3 linked regions of the Nothobranchius furzeri genome follow. The protein of the gene in region 2 interacts with the protein of the main gene of each other region in a biochemical or structural test. Links are inferred from orthologs where the notes say so. Each region holds a gene or a part of one and is shown on either strand. Other genes may lie near its edges.

The links.
Region 1: the proteins of keap1b (region 2) and APC membrane recruitment protein 1 form a complex in vitro, tested with the Homo sapiens proteins (2 studies listed by BioGRID). The link is inferred for Nothobranchius furzeri from reciprocal best matches to the Homo sapiens genes KEAP1 and AMER1.
Region 3: the proteins of keap1b (region 2) and mcm3 form a complex in vitro, tested with the Homo sapiens proteins (2 studies listed by BioGRID, with this or other methods). The link is inferred for Nothobranchius furzeri from reciprocal best matches to the Homo sapiens genes KEAP1 and MCM3.

Annotation. Positions count from the first base shown.
Region 1 is NC_091750.1:49,363,980-49,368,217, reverse strand, and holds the start of APC membrane recruitment protein 1, read left to right. Parts: upstream 1-1,426; 5' UTR 1,427-1,649; intron 1,650-1,700; exon of another isoform or gene 1,701-1,837; intron 1,838-3,248; 5' UTR 3,249-3,354; coding exon 3,355-4,238. UniProt on the Homo sapiens protein: Regulator of the canonical Wnt signaling pathway.
Region 2 is NC_091747.1:74,209,480-74,212,992, forward strand, and holds part of keap1b (kelch-like ECH-associated protein 1B), read left to right. Parts: intron 1-2,562; coding exon 2,563-3,239; intron 3,240-3,513. UniProt on the Homo sapiens protein: Substrate-specific adapter of a BCR (BTB-CUL3-RBX1) E3 ubiquitin ligase complex that regulates the response to oxidative stress by targeting NFE2L2/NRF2 for ubiquitination.
Region 3 is NC_091742.1:30,394,125-30,398,180, reverse strand, and holds the start of mcm3 (DNA replication licensing factor MCM3), read left to right. Parts: upstream 1-1,244; 5' UTR 1,245-1,350; coding exon 1,351-1,425; intron 1,426-1,548; coding exon 1,549-1,661; intron 1,662-1,892; coding exon 1,893-2,101; intron 2,102-2,169; coding exon 2,170-2,300; intron 2,301-2,378; coding exon 2,379-2,617; intron 2,618-2,709; coding exon 2,710-2,818; intron 2,819-2,947; coding exon 2,948-3,101; intron 3,102-3,176; coding exon 3,177-3,517; intron 3,518-3,733; coding exon 3,734-3,908; intron 3,909-3,982; coding exon 3,983-4,056. UniProt on the Homo sapiens protein: Acts as a component of the MCM2-7 complex (MCM complex) which is the replicative helicase essential for 'once per cell cycle' DNA replication initiation and elongation in eukaryotic cells.

The DNA.
Region 1 (4,238 bases), on a different chromosome or scaffold from region 2:
CACAAGCACCACGACGATCAGAAACCACAAAGAGCACTTTGAAAGAAAACACTGAAATCAAAGGACAACGGAGCAATCGGGCGCTGATTTAGGTTGAGAAAACAAGATGTTGCACTGGTAACTGCACGAACCTTCTGCAGAACTGAGTTGTAAATATTATCTGATTATGCCACAATCACTGTGATTTTCCTGTTCACTGTAGCCTAAGGTCTAATCAGTTTTTAAAAAGAAAGCAAAATGTGTATATGTATGGAAATGTAATATAAAAACTCTAATTCTGAGTGTTTGGGTTTCTTTTTAGACAGGAAACGGTTCCGGCTGCTCATGCAGCTTACTGAAACGGTTTCTGCTTCCTTGTTTAAGCATGCTCCCTCCTATTTGAACATGTTCTGTAAATAAGGCTCAGGTTATGTCCAGAAGGCTGACTGAAAACAAAGATGTTTTTTTTTCTGCAGGGACTTAACTTTAAGACAAACTTTCTGCTAATTAGAAAGAGAACAAACAGCCCTCCTCCTCCCTTCATCATAGGAGGGGAAGCAGTTGATCTGGTGAAAGCAGCTGAAAACGGCCAATCTCTAAACTGGTGACCATCCTGACATCCAGTCTGGGAACTGCTCTGATGAGAAGACGACTATGATCTGCTTGAAAATAGACCAACAGCAGCCTCTCTCTAAGTACTGGTTCCCATTGTTGGGAACAGGGCATCAGGTGGGGGTCTTGAACATAAATGTTAATATAGTTGCCATTGGTACATTTAAGCTGAAGTGTACTCAGAAACTTGACCACCCTCTTAAATGGCCAACCATTGTTTAGCATGTTTGTGGCTTTTATTTTATGAGTTGAAAGCTAAAAGGTTTAGGAATCGCAGCTCTGGAGGACACTTGCGCTATAGGGTCTGTAACAGTTGCAATAAAAGAGCCATTTTCCCCTCAATTGATGAAAAAAACAAATAAATAAATACATAAAATACAGGTGTAGAGCCAGAACTTTTGCAGGACTGTTTTAAATGATTTGAGCCAAAGTTACGATGATGCGTTGAAAAGAAAGTCCGGCGAGCCACGTGTGACTCCAGGGCCATAAGTTACAGACCCAAGCAGATGCAGAACTAAAGTAAACAACAACATACCAAATTACTCACGTGCTTTCCTTCAGGCTGGAGCTCCAGCCACCTGAAAGCATGAGCAACATGACCTTTGACCTTTCAGCTGCACTACTGAATGATTTTAGCTGACTTTAAGTCGTTTATTGAGATTGGCTCGAGGAACACATTTCGTCCTTCACTGTCTTTTCATGAATCTGAATTAATCTGTTAAACGTGGGTACCATGGTAACACACGTGTTGCGTCACTGACATGCGCAGAGAGAGTCTCCGGGAATGGAGGTTTGGGAGTCATCTACAAATCGGGAGTCATCACCCTGTTTTAAACGCTGTTGCTTTGTTGTGACCACCTGAGGAGAACTCGGGCTGCACTGCCCGAACCAGACCCGGAACACCGGTGCTGGACTCACGGTTCGGCTAATCCCCGCGTTCCTCTTGCTGCAGCTGTTGCTGCGGTGTGCTTAAGGCGAGCATTGTTCAGACTCAAAGCTACAGCCACAATCCGAGGGGGACCGCTGTCTGTGGACTGTTTACTATGGAGGAACCGTTGGTGAGTGTGATTACCGCTGGTGTTATCGGTCACCTGGGCTAGCTTAGCGCCAGCTGGAGGCGACAGAACCGGTGGAGCTGCTCCGCTCCGCGGCCTGGCTCGACCCGCAGCCAGCTGCAGCCAGAAGTTACAAGTTAGCTTCCTATCACCCTTGGAGACGAAACAAGCTGTCCCACCTCCACTAGCAGGTTGTTGCTAAGTTGTTTTATTCCACCTCTGTTAGCTTAGTGGTGTGAATTTAGTTTTCTTTCAGTCGTAAATTGTAGTGTTTGTGAAATGATGTACGTTATAAATGTAGCTGCCGGTTGTTTCGTTGTTTTCTTCGTGAAAAGTTTGGACTTTTACTTACTTTTTTATGCTAATAGCATCTAGCCTGTTGCTTCACGAGCTACTCTGTCCTTTAAAACATCCCACAAGGCTAAGTTTTAAAACATACAAGTCTAACCTGCTGGCTAAAGGTGTTAAATCTAAAATTAGACGAAACGTTTAGTCAAACCAAATGTGCACAATATGTCACATTATAATAAATGTAAACCTTAGGTAGCCATTGTTTAATCTGTTTGCAAGCATGACTTGTAGCTATTACATTAAAAAGGCTTCTTTTCTCTGTAGGTTTTTAAAGGAATCTAAATTAAATTGATCCTGCTACATGGCAACTGTTTTTTTTAAATCGGAACTCTTATAAAATTATATTTTAACCAGTCTCTGTGTAAATCTGGCCTCTATTTAGAGAAATGGTTTGTGTCGAAGAGGATTGATGAGCTAAGGGCTAGTACAAACACATCCAAGAACGGAGGAGATTGCCATTGTCTTAACACATCTCAAACCTCCTGAATTTGTGAGGTTCATGCACATTTGGTTGTCTGAGAATAGAAATAGAAAGATCTTAAGACCTGATATGAAACAGGAGTGCCCCCTTTTGGAGATATTGATTTAGATGCATAAATTACCATAAAATTCTATGAAACTAATTGTTATGCAAAACTGACAAAATTGTAAAGTTGTTTTTAAAGAATTTTCACTTGAACCGTGTGAACTTTAGAGATTGTTGTTTTTTTTTAAGTCAGTAGCAGTGCATTTTGTCCTATGCTCATGCTATAGTATGTAAACTCTCTCACTTTAATGCCATTATGTCCATTTTCCCGACCTGCTGACCAAAATAATGATGTAAATATCAAGATAGATGAAACAGAACATTTAATAAAGTAATTATAAACTAACCTTTTTTTATTAAGCTATTTTTCTTTAGCGCTTTGCTAATATTACACATATGTGATTGCTGCCTGGGTCCCTTTATTTGTTTTTAAAGACGTCTCAATATTTAGATCTGTTTCTCAACAAAACCAAACATATGGTGTTTCTATTGGTAGATCTAAAACTGTGGACATTTCATAGTAGGTATTTAAATAGAGGAAATCTAAATTCTAGAAATGCAGTTTGCACAATGTGCAAGGAAGTGGAGATGTGAACAATTGAGGAAAATGTGCACTTCGAGGATGCCAAAGATGAAAATAAAACATTTTCATAATAGAATTCTTGACTTCACTCATTGAAACTGTTGCATTTTTACTGATTTTGGTTCTGATTTTCTTATTATAGGGCTGAAGATGGAGGACAATCTAACTTCACTCTTACCGTCAGCTGATTCTTCAGGCTCAGATAGTATGACTTCTTTCAGACACTCGCCTTCCTGAATGTAGTCACCATGGCTTCTCGCGAGCTGGAAGAGTTACCGAGTGGCCCTAAGGCTTCCCCCCCAAGGGCCGACCAGCAATCCGACTCTGATGGCATCAAGGAAGAGCTTCAGTCAGATCCAGTGAACACTACTGTGAAGTCTCAAAAATCCGGGAAATTCAAAAGGACTGCCTTGACATTCTTTGGAGTTCGTAAAAATATTTGTATTTTACCAAGTTTTTTTGGGGGGAGGAGTAAAAATCAGTGCAAGAAGGGAGTCTGCAAAAGTAGAACGTATGACGGGCTAAGTAAGGTCAGTCACGACCACTGTCAGAGAGGTGGTGGCTGCGTCTCAGCTGGAGGTTTTGATTCCCACAGCCAGAGCGGTGCATCTGGAGAGCTCCACGGCAGCTGTCCTCATGAGTGCAGTCACCACACCACTGACCGGAAATCTCTGACTCTTGGCAGGCAGAGAAAAAGTCTGAGGAGTCTTTTTCAAAGTTTTAAGCAGCACAGAGGTCAGAGGAATGCTGAATCAGATAAAACTGAGCCTTCTACTCAGTGCAAGAAAGAGGTGCCTGTTATCCAACTCAACACCAAACATTATGCCACAGAGTGCCTGGGATCTGAACCTGATGTGCCTGATTTTGTAGATGTAATGTGTAATATCACCATTGGTCCTGAATGTAGTCACAAGGATGCAAAAGCATCAGAGAATAGTGTCGAGAAAGAAAGTCCAAAGTCTGAGCGTGATGATCAGGTGTGTGGAGATCAGCTTGAAGATGCTGATTTAGTGTCAGTAGTTCCTGGTGGGTATGTGGAGACTTCCAGGCGTTCAAGCGAGCCTTGTCTGAAACTCCAGGAGAAATCTGAGTTCACGTTGAAGTCTCAAACACCCGCCAGCTCATCCGATCA
Region 2 (3,513 bases):
TTGCCGCCAGTGTGTGGCAGTAATGAGCCACTGATCTACCAGTGGAGCCGTAGAAGAAGAAATGAGCCAATAAGTGCCCCCAGTTTTCATGACGTATCACGTTACTGACGCTCATCTTGCTGTGAGAGATGGCGGATCAACAAGAAATACGGAAGAAAAATAGAAGCGACAAAACAAGAGAAACCCCGGACAAAAACCTCACGAGAATGGGAGCACTTCACTAGATGCCTTGAAAAGACCGGTGACCTGCAAAATATGCAAAAACCATGGCACGACGGAAGCACGACGTCCCTAAGTGAACATTTGAGACGAAAACGTGGGGGCTGATGCAGCAGAGGAATGTCCGGTAAGTCACAGAAAATAAACAAGCTAACGCAGATCAAATTTGAGACTTAGTGATTTAGCTGAGTTCGTTATAGTGGATGTTAAACATGTTTTTTTTTTTTTTTTGCCGCGTCAGTTTACGGTGTTCTACTTCTGATTGACTAGATTCAATCGTGAATCTCCTCTGTGTTGTGAATCATGCGCTTGCCAAATTTAGCACGTCTGTTTATAAGACTGTTCTCGTTAAGAGAAAAACGGCACAAACCCATAACTGTGTTCCTCATTCAAAAAAGGACAACTCCGCGGAGAAAAATATACAGACGAGCTGTGTCCAGGTGAATATAACGCGGCATAGTTGTACGCTTTCAATTTTTAAATACAGGAGAAATTCAGAAAGTCCTTTTTTTAACTATTAAAAGGCTGTTTTACCGTCTAACACTGTAAAACGCCTCACAACACATTTTTGTCAAAATAAATTATCACTGTATATTGTTAATTAATTCAAATAATGTAATATTGATTTAGTGTTGTAGTGTGTGTGCTGTTTTATTTTATATGTGTACTTAATTCAGTTTATTTGTGTTTCTTATGCAGAAAAAAACAAGCAACGATGGACAACTACATGGGGAACAAGACACTCACCCCAGCAATGCATACCACTTACAAACTCTATTCTAGATTCTACATTATTTTTTTATGGAATTTACCTCTTATATTTTGATACCAAAAAATTATTCTGGACTGATATTTTGCACTGTTTAGCTCATTTTACACCACTGACTGTGTTCATGTGCAATAAAATAGATTGCAGTCAACTGCACAATTCTCTTATGTTTTTCTTTTTCTTAACTGAAATGTATTCATCACTTGTATAGGTTAAATAGCTAAACAATAACAAACTGATTAATCGATTAATCGAAAAAATAATCGACAGATTAATCGATTATGAAAATAATCGTTAGTTGCAGCCCTAGCTGCAGGACCACCTGAGGCAGAGCCACAGCTGTATTGTAGGTGGCTCAGTGACCATTCGTCACCTCAGAAGTACAGGTGATACCTCGTTTATCGTGGTAGATGCGTTCCAGACCTGAAAATCCGCGAAGTAGGGACACCATATTTACAGTACAGTACTATATTGAATGATCTATCGTATGATCACATTCTCTTTTTGTGGGTAAAACTCAAGAAAAATTTTTTTTACTTGGTTTTTTATAGTTTTATTACAAAAAGTGCATTTTATGATGAAATTGATGAAAAAAAAAACCAGGAATTTCTTGATATTTCGCATAGAAAAATACCGCAAATCGGTGAAAAATACAGCGAATTGGCGAATTTCCCTTGAATAAGGCTCCAAAGAAAAAATCCGCGAAGTCGTGAATCCGCGATAAACGAACCGCGAAGTAGCGAGGGATCACTGTATTTTTCATTGAAACAGCTTTTTTGTTAATGTTCTAAATAACCACTACTGGAACACTGGGATGACCCAACTCCTCAGCAGATTTAAGTCTTCTAGCTTTAAGGTGACTTAAGTGAAAATTGTACCTAATTTTTTAAATCACGTTCAAAACTCACGATTATTTATTCTGAAATAGGACGTTTCTGCCAGGCTTGACCCCTGGTGACACCAGAAGTTCCTGTTGCTGACACTCGTGCTCGTCAATAACCACAGAATCACATATGAGTACATGATGTAAACGTTAACTCATTCACTGCCAGCCGTTTCCTGATCAGAAAGCCCCGGACTGCCAGTGTTTTTGAGCGTTTTTACTGTTTTTTTTGAAGAGTCACAGACCATTGTGCTCTATGCTCATGTAAATACCAAAACTTCCTAAAGAAAGAGTGCTTACATCAGGAAGAATCCGTGTGTTTGTAGCGTTATCCGTTCATTCATAATCTGTTGTTGAATTGTGAGCAGCAGAAGCTTTTCCAGTTGGCGCCTCGCTTTTTTCACACCAGCGGCCCAAAACGATCTCCTGATTAACGGATTTTCTGTTTCCTGATCATGTGACATGTGATATAGACGGATGAAGATCAGCTTTAGAAACGGGATGTGTATTCTCACGTTGCAGAGGCTCATTCCCACGCTCGCCCAATAAAAAAATGCAATTGGCGACTTTAGTCGACTTCAGGTTGAGACCTCTCAGCTCCGTTTACAGCAGCTCAGGTGAAACGGTTAGAGGAAATCCACAGACAGTCATTATAGTTGTGGGACAAATGTCTCCATGTCTCTCCTTCCAGGTAGCAACCCAGGAGGAGTTCTTCAACCTGTCCCACTGCCAGTTGGTCAACCTCATCAGCCGCGATGAGCTCAATGTGCGGTGTGAGTCCGAAGTCTTCCAGGCATGTGTGGCCTGGGTGCGCTATGACCGGGAGAACCGGAGACCGTATGTCCAAGCCTTACTCCAGGCTGTCCGCTGCCACTCCCTCACCCCTAACTTCCTGCAGACCCAGCTCCAGTCCTTGGACTGGGACCCTCAGTGTAAAGACTACCTATCCCAAATCTTCCAGGACCTCACGCTCCACAAACCCACCAAAGCAATTCCTTGCAGGACGCCCATGGTGCCGCAGCTGATCTACACAGCGGGGGGTTACTTTCGTCAGTCTCTCAGCTACCTGGAGGCCTACAACCCCTGTACTGGAGCCTGGCTGAGGCTGGCAGACCTGCAGGTACCTCGCAGCGGCCTGGCAGCTTGTGTGATCAGTGGGCTTTTCTATGCTGTCGGGGGCAGGAACAACGCGCCAGACGGGAACATGGACTCCAGTGCTTTGGACTGCTACAATCCTATGAACAACTGCTGGCGTCCGTGTGCACCGATGAGCGTTCCCAGGAACCGGATCGGAGTCGGCGTTATCGACGGCATGGTTTACGCTGTTGGTGGTTCTCATGGGTGCATTCATCACAACAGTGTGGAAAGGTGAGCGATACGGCTACACCTCACAAACCACAGCTTACCTGGTTGTAGTTCCCAACAGCAGGCACACCTGAGCCACAGGTAGGATGTGATGTTAGGATTTAGTTGTCATTAGGCTCTGTGGTTTGCCTCGGTACAGACTTAGTTCTGGTCTGTTTCCTGGGTTAGGTCACCGTGTAATGGTAAGGTAAGGGATCAGATCATGATCTCATCTTCTTCAGGTTTGTTTTTCACAAGCTGCTACAAAAAATAATGAACAAAAGCTCAGGAACGTACA
Region 3 (4,056 bases), on a different chromosome or scaffold from region 2:
AAACACCTGGTTAAAAATTTGTTAAAAGCTTCACCGCAAGAAGGTGTTCTAAAAGCACCGCGAAGTTGATATAAAACAATTTACTGACTTAAACACCTGGTTAAAACTTAAGTTTTACCAAACAAAGGTATTTAAAAACCATGTCAATAAAATTGCAACAAACAAAGTTAACCTTAAAAACCAACGAACACAAGATCCCACAGGATCACTCAAGAGTTTCAACTATAAAAGTTAAACTCATACAGAACGAATGGAGAACAGCAGAGCTCCTGCACTGCTGCCTCCCAGACTCTGAAGGCACAGCTCTTTTATCCAGGTGTGGCTCATCAGGAGGACTCAGCTCAGCTGTGCTCCTCAGCAGCCTGGAAGGGAGGAGGAGGGGGGGGCGGTGTCCGGCCATCACCAGAGCTGGGTGATCCTGGCTGCTTTCTCCCTCTGGCCAGGCTGGCAGCTGCACCAGGTAAAGCCTCTCCTGACCCTGGACACCTGCAGTCCTACAGAGAAAATCAGACCACAGGTGACAAAAAGGCAATAAACACACTTTTACATTTATCCACATGAGAAGATAAAACTTTTATTCTGCACACAAACTTTTTACTTCATTAAAACGTGTCAGCTGTGTAAATCCCTGAATGTAAAACTACTTTTCACAGAAGAACGTGTGTGTGTGTGTGTGTGTGTGTGTGTGTGTGTGTGTGTGTGTGTGTGTGTGTGTGTGTGTGTGTGTGTGTGTGTGTGTGTGTGTGTGAACAGCTTCCTATTCACCTCTGAGCTTCATAAAAACGCTTCTTTGCGCCGTTGTCCTTAAAACAAATGACAATTCAACACACACACACACACACACACACACACACACACACACACACACACACACACACACACACACACACACACACACACACACACACACACACACAGGAATAACTGGGACCTGCGAAACAAAGTCGTTCTGGCTGATTTCTGCCTAAAATGTAATTTAAAGAACAAACATACAAACGACAAATGTCTATAAACAGAACCGCTTTAAGTTTTTTAGGTTTCTACGGCTGGTTTTTAACAAACTCACGTTTAAAACTTCGTAGCTCTCCCCACTTCCGCTTCCTGTTGAAAATCCACGGCCGGCGCGCAAAGCATGCTGGGGGAGGGGGTTAAGTGTCACGTGATTATTGCGTGAGTTTACCCGCCGAGTATGCAAAAGACCACGTGACGGGTTGACCAATCGTAGGGCACGCTGTACTGTGACGCAGACCGCAGTGGCGCGAAAAGTCTTCAGTCGTGAGGTGTGACGGTGGCGGCAGCGTTTTGTTTCCCGTTTTCAGTTTCATCACCGAGAAAAGTTGATCAGAAATAATGGCGACCGACATGGTGGACGACCGGGAGATGAGGGAGGCGCAGAGGGACTATGTGGACTTCCTGGACGACGACGTAAGTCACCTTTTGTCCTTTGATGTGTTCCTGTAAGGAGAGAACAACAAAGGCCGCCGTCGTGGTCAGACTTGTGTCAGGAATGCGTTTTTAACAGCCTCCGTGTTGTTGTCCGACCTGCAGCAGGACCAGGGCATCTACCAGAGCAAAGTCCGCGACATGATCGGAGACAACAAAGCCCGGCTCATCGTCAACATCAACGACCTGAGGAGGCGCAACGAGACCCGGGCCGCAAAGTTAGTCACACTCGCTGTCCCCTTTGGGTCTGGAGCTCCTGAGGTTCCCCTCCATCATCCATGAGTGTAAAGATGTCTCCAGCAGACACAGCTAACTGCTCCTTCTGTTTAGCGAGATCTAACTTTTAGAGGATAAATGCTCCAAAAAGGCAGTACTGAACAGAAATGGTGGATAAGAGGCGGTTCCTCAGATCACGTGTCCCGCCATCACAGCTGGTTTTTGCCTCCCAGGTTGCTGAACAGTGCGTTTGAGGAGCTGCTGGCCTTCCAGCGGGCTCTGAAGGACGTGGTGGCCACGGTGGACGCCACCTACGCCAAGCAGCACGAGGAGTTCTTTATCGGGCTGGAGGGCAGCTTCGGCACCAAGCACGTGTCCCCCCGGACGCTGACCTCGCGACTGCTGGGCAGCGTGGTGTGTGTGGAGGGCATCGTCACCAAGTGTGAGTTTAGGATTTGTAGCTGCCTGCTGGCTCTGGGTTTCATCTAACCTTCCGGTCTTTTCCTGTAGGTTCTCTTGTGCGTCCCAAAGTGGTGCGCAGTGTCCACTACTGTCCAGCCACCAAGAAAACCATGGAGAGGGTGTACAGCGACCTGACCTCTCTGGATGCCTTCCCTTCCAGTGCCATTTACCCAACCAAGGTGGGTGTTTGCTAGCTCAGATGGTAAAGGTTGTGTGTGACTGAAGATGGCTAACCGTCATCGGTTCCGCTGCTTTAGGATGAGGAGAACAACCCCCTGGAGACGGAGTTTGGTCTGTCCATCTACAAGGACCACCAGACCATCACGGTGCAGGAGATGCCGGAGAAGGCTCCAGCCGGTCAGCTGCCCCGCTCTGTGGACATCGTTCTGGACAACGACTTGGTGGATTCCGTCAAACCAGGAGACCGAGTCCAGGTCGTGGGGACATACCGTTGCCTGCCTGGGAAGAAGGGAGGGTTCACCTCCGGCACGTTCAGGTTTGATGTGATGTCCTTCAGACATCTGTTGGTGGTTTAGATCCAGAGCTAAAGGAGAAAAGGTAAAACTCCAAACTCCCCTGTTTCTGCAGGACCATCATGATCGCCTGTCAGGTCAAACAAATGAGCAAGGAGGTCTCCCCGTCCTTCTCTGCCGACGACGTGGCCAAGATCAGGAACTTCTGCCGGACTCGCTCCATTGTGAGTGTGTGTGAGTGTGTGTGTGTGTGTGTGTGTGTGTGTGTGTGTGTGTGTGTGTGAGTGTGTGTGAGTGTGTGTGTGTGTGTGTGTGAGTGTGTGTGTGTGTTTTAATGGTGACTGTTTCTGTAGAACGTGTTTGACCGGCTGGCCCATTCGCTGGCACCCAGCATCCACGGACACGACTACATCAAGAAGGCCATCCTGTGCATGCTGCTGGGCGGGGTGGAGAAGGTTCTGGAGAATGGTACCCGCATCAGAGGAGACATCAACATCCTGCTCATCGGTAAACGGAGACCTGTAGAGCGGTTCGTGTCCACTCTGGGATTTTGTCTCACATCCGGTGTGTGTGGTTTTCCAGGTGACCCGTCGGTGGCGAAATCCCAGCTGCTGCGTTACGTTCTTCAGACCGCGCCCAGAGCCATCCCCACCACCGGGCGGGGCTCCTCCGGCGTGGGTCTCACTGCTGCAGTCACCACTGACCAGGAGACCGGTGAGCGCCGGCTGGAGGCGGGCGCCATGGTGCTGGCGGACCGCGGCGTTGTGTGCATTGACGAGTTCGATAAGATGTCCGACATGGACCGCACCGCCATCCACGAGGTGATGGAGCAGGGTCGGGTCACCATCGCCAAGGCTGGAATCCACGCCCGGCTCAACGCCCGCTGCTCCGTTCTGGCTGCTGCCAACCCGGTCTACGGCAGGGTGAGTTGGAGTGAGCGTGGCGCAGACGTTTACAAAACCCTTCAGCTGTTAGAGGTCGTCAGCTCGTGATGAGGTGGGCGCAGGAGTGAGGCATAATAATGCTTTTAACTTGGTGAAGTCGCTGCAGGCGTCCTCCAGGGACGGCTTTGATCTTGGGCGGTTCGACTGGCGTGTCGGTGGGAACGTGTGTGTTCATGAAGGTCTCTGTTCCTGCAGTATGATCAGTATAAAACCCCCATGGAGAACATCGGCCTGCAGGACTCCCTGCTGTCCCGCTTCGACCTCCTCTTCATCGTACTGGATCAGATGGACCCCGAGCAGGACCGGGAAATCTCGGACCATGTCCTGAGGATGCACCGCTACCGAGACCCCCGTGAGCAGGAGGGAGCAGGTACAGTGGCGTCCGTGTTTGATCGTGTTCTGCAGCGTGAGGAGCGTCTCACCGAGTCCGTTTATTTCCTGCAGCCATGGCTCTGGGTGGGACCGTAGATGTTCTGGCCACAGACGACCCAGATGGCCTGGGAGAAGAGCAGGAGGAG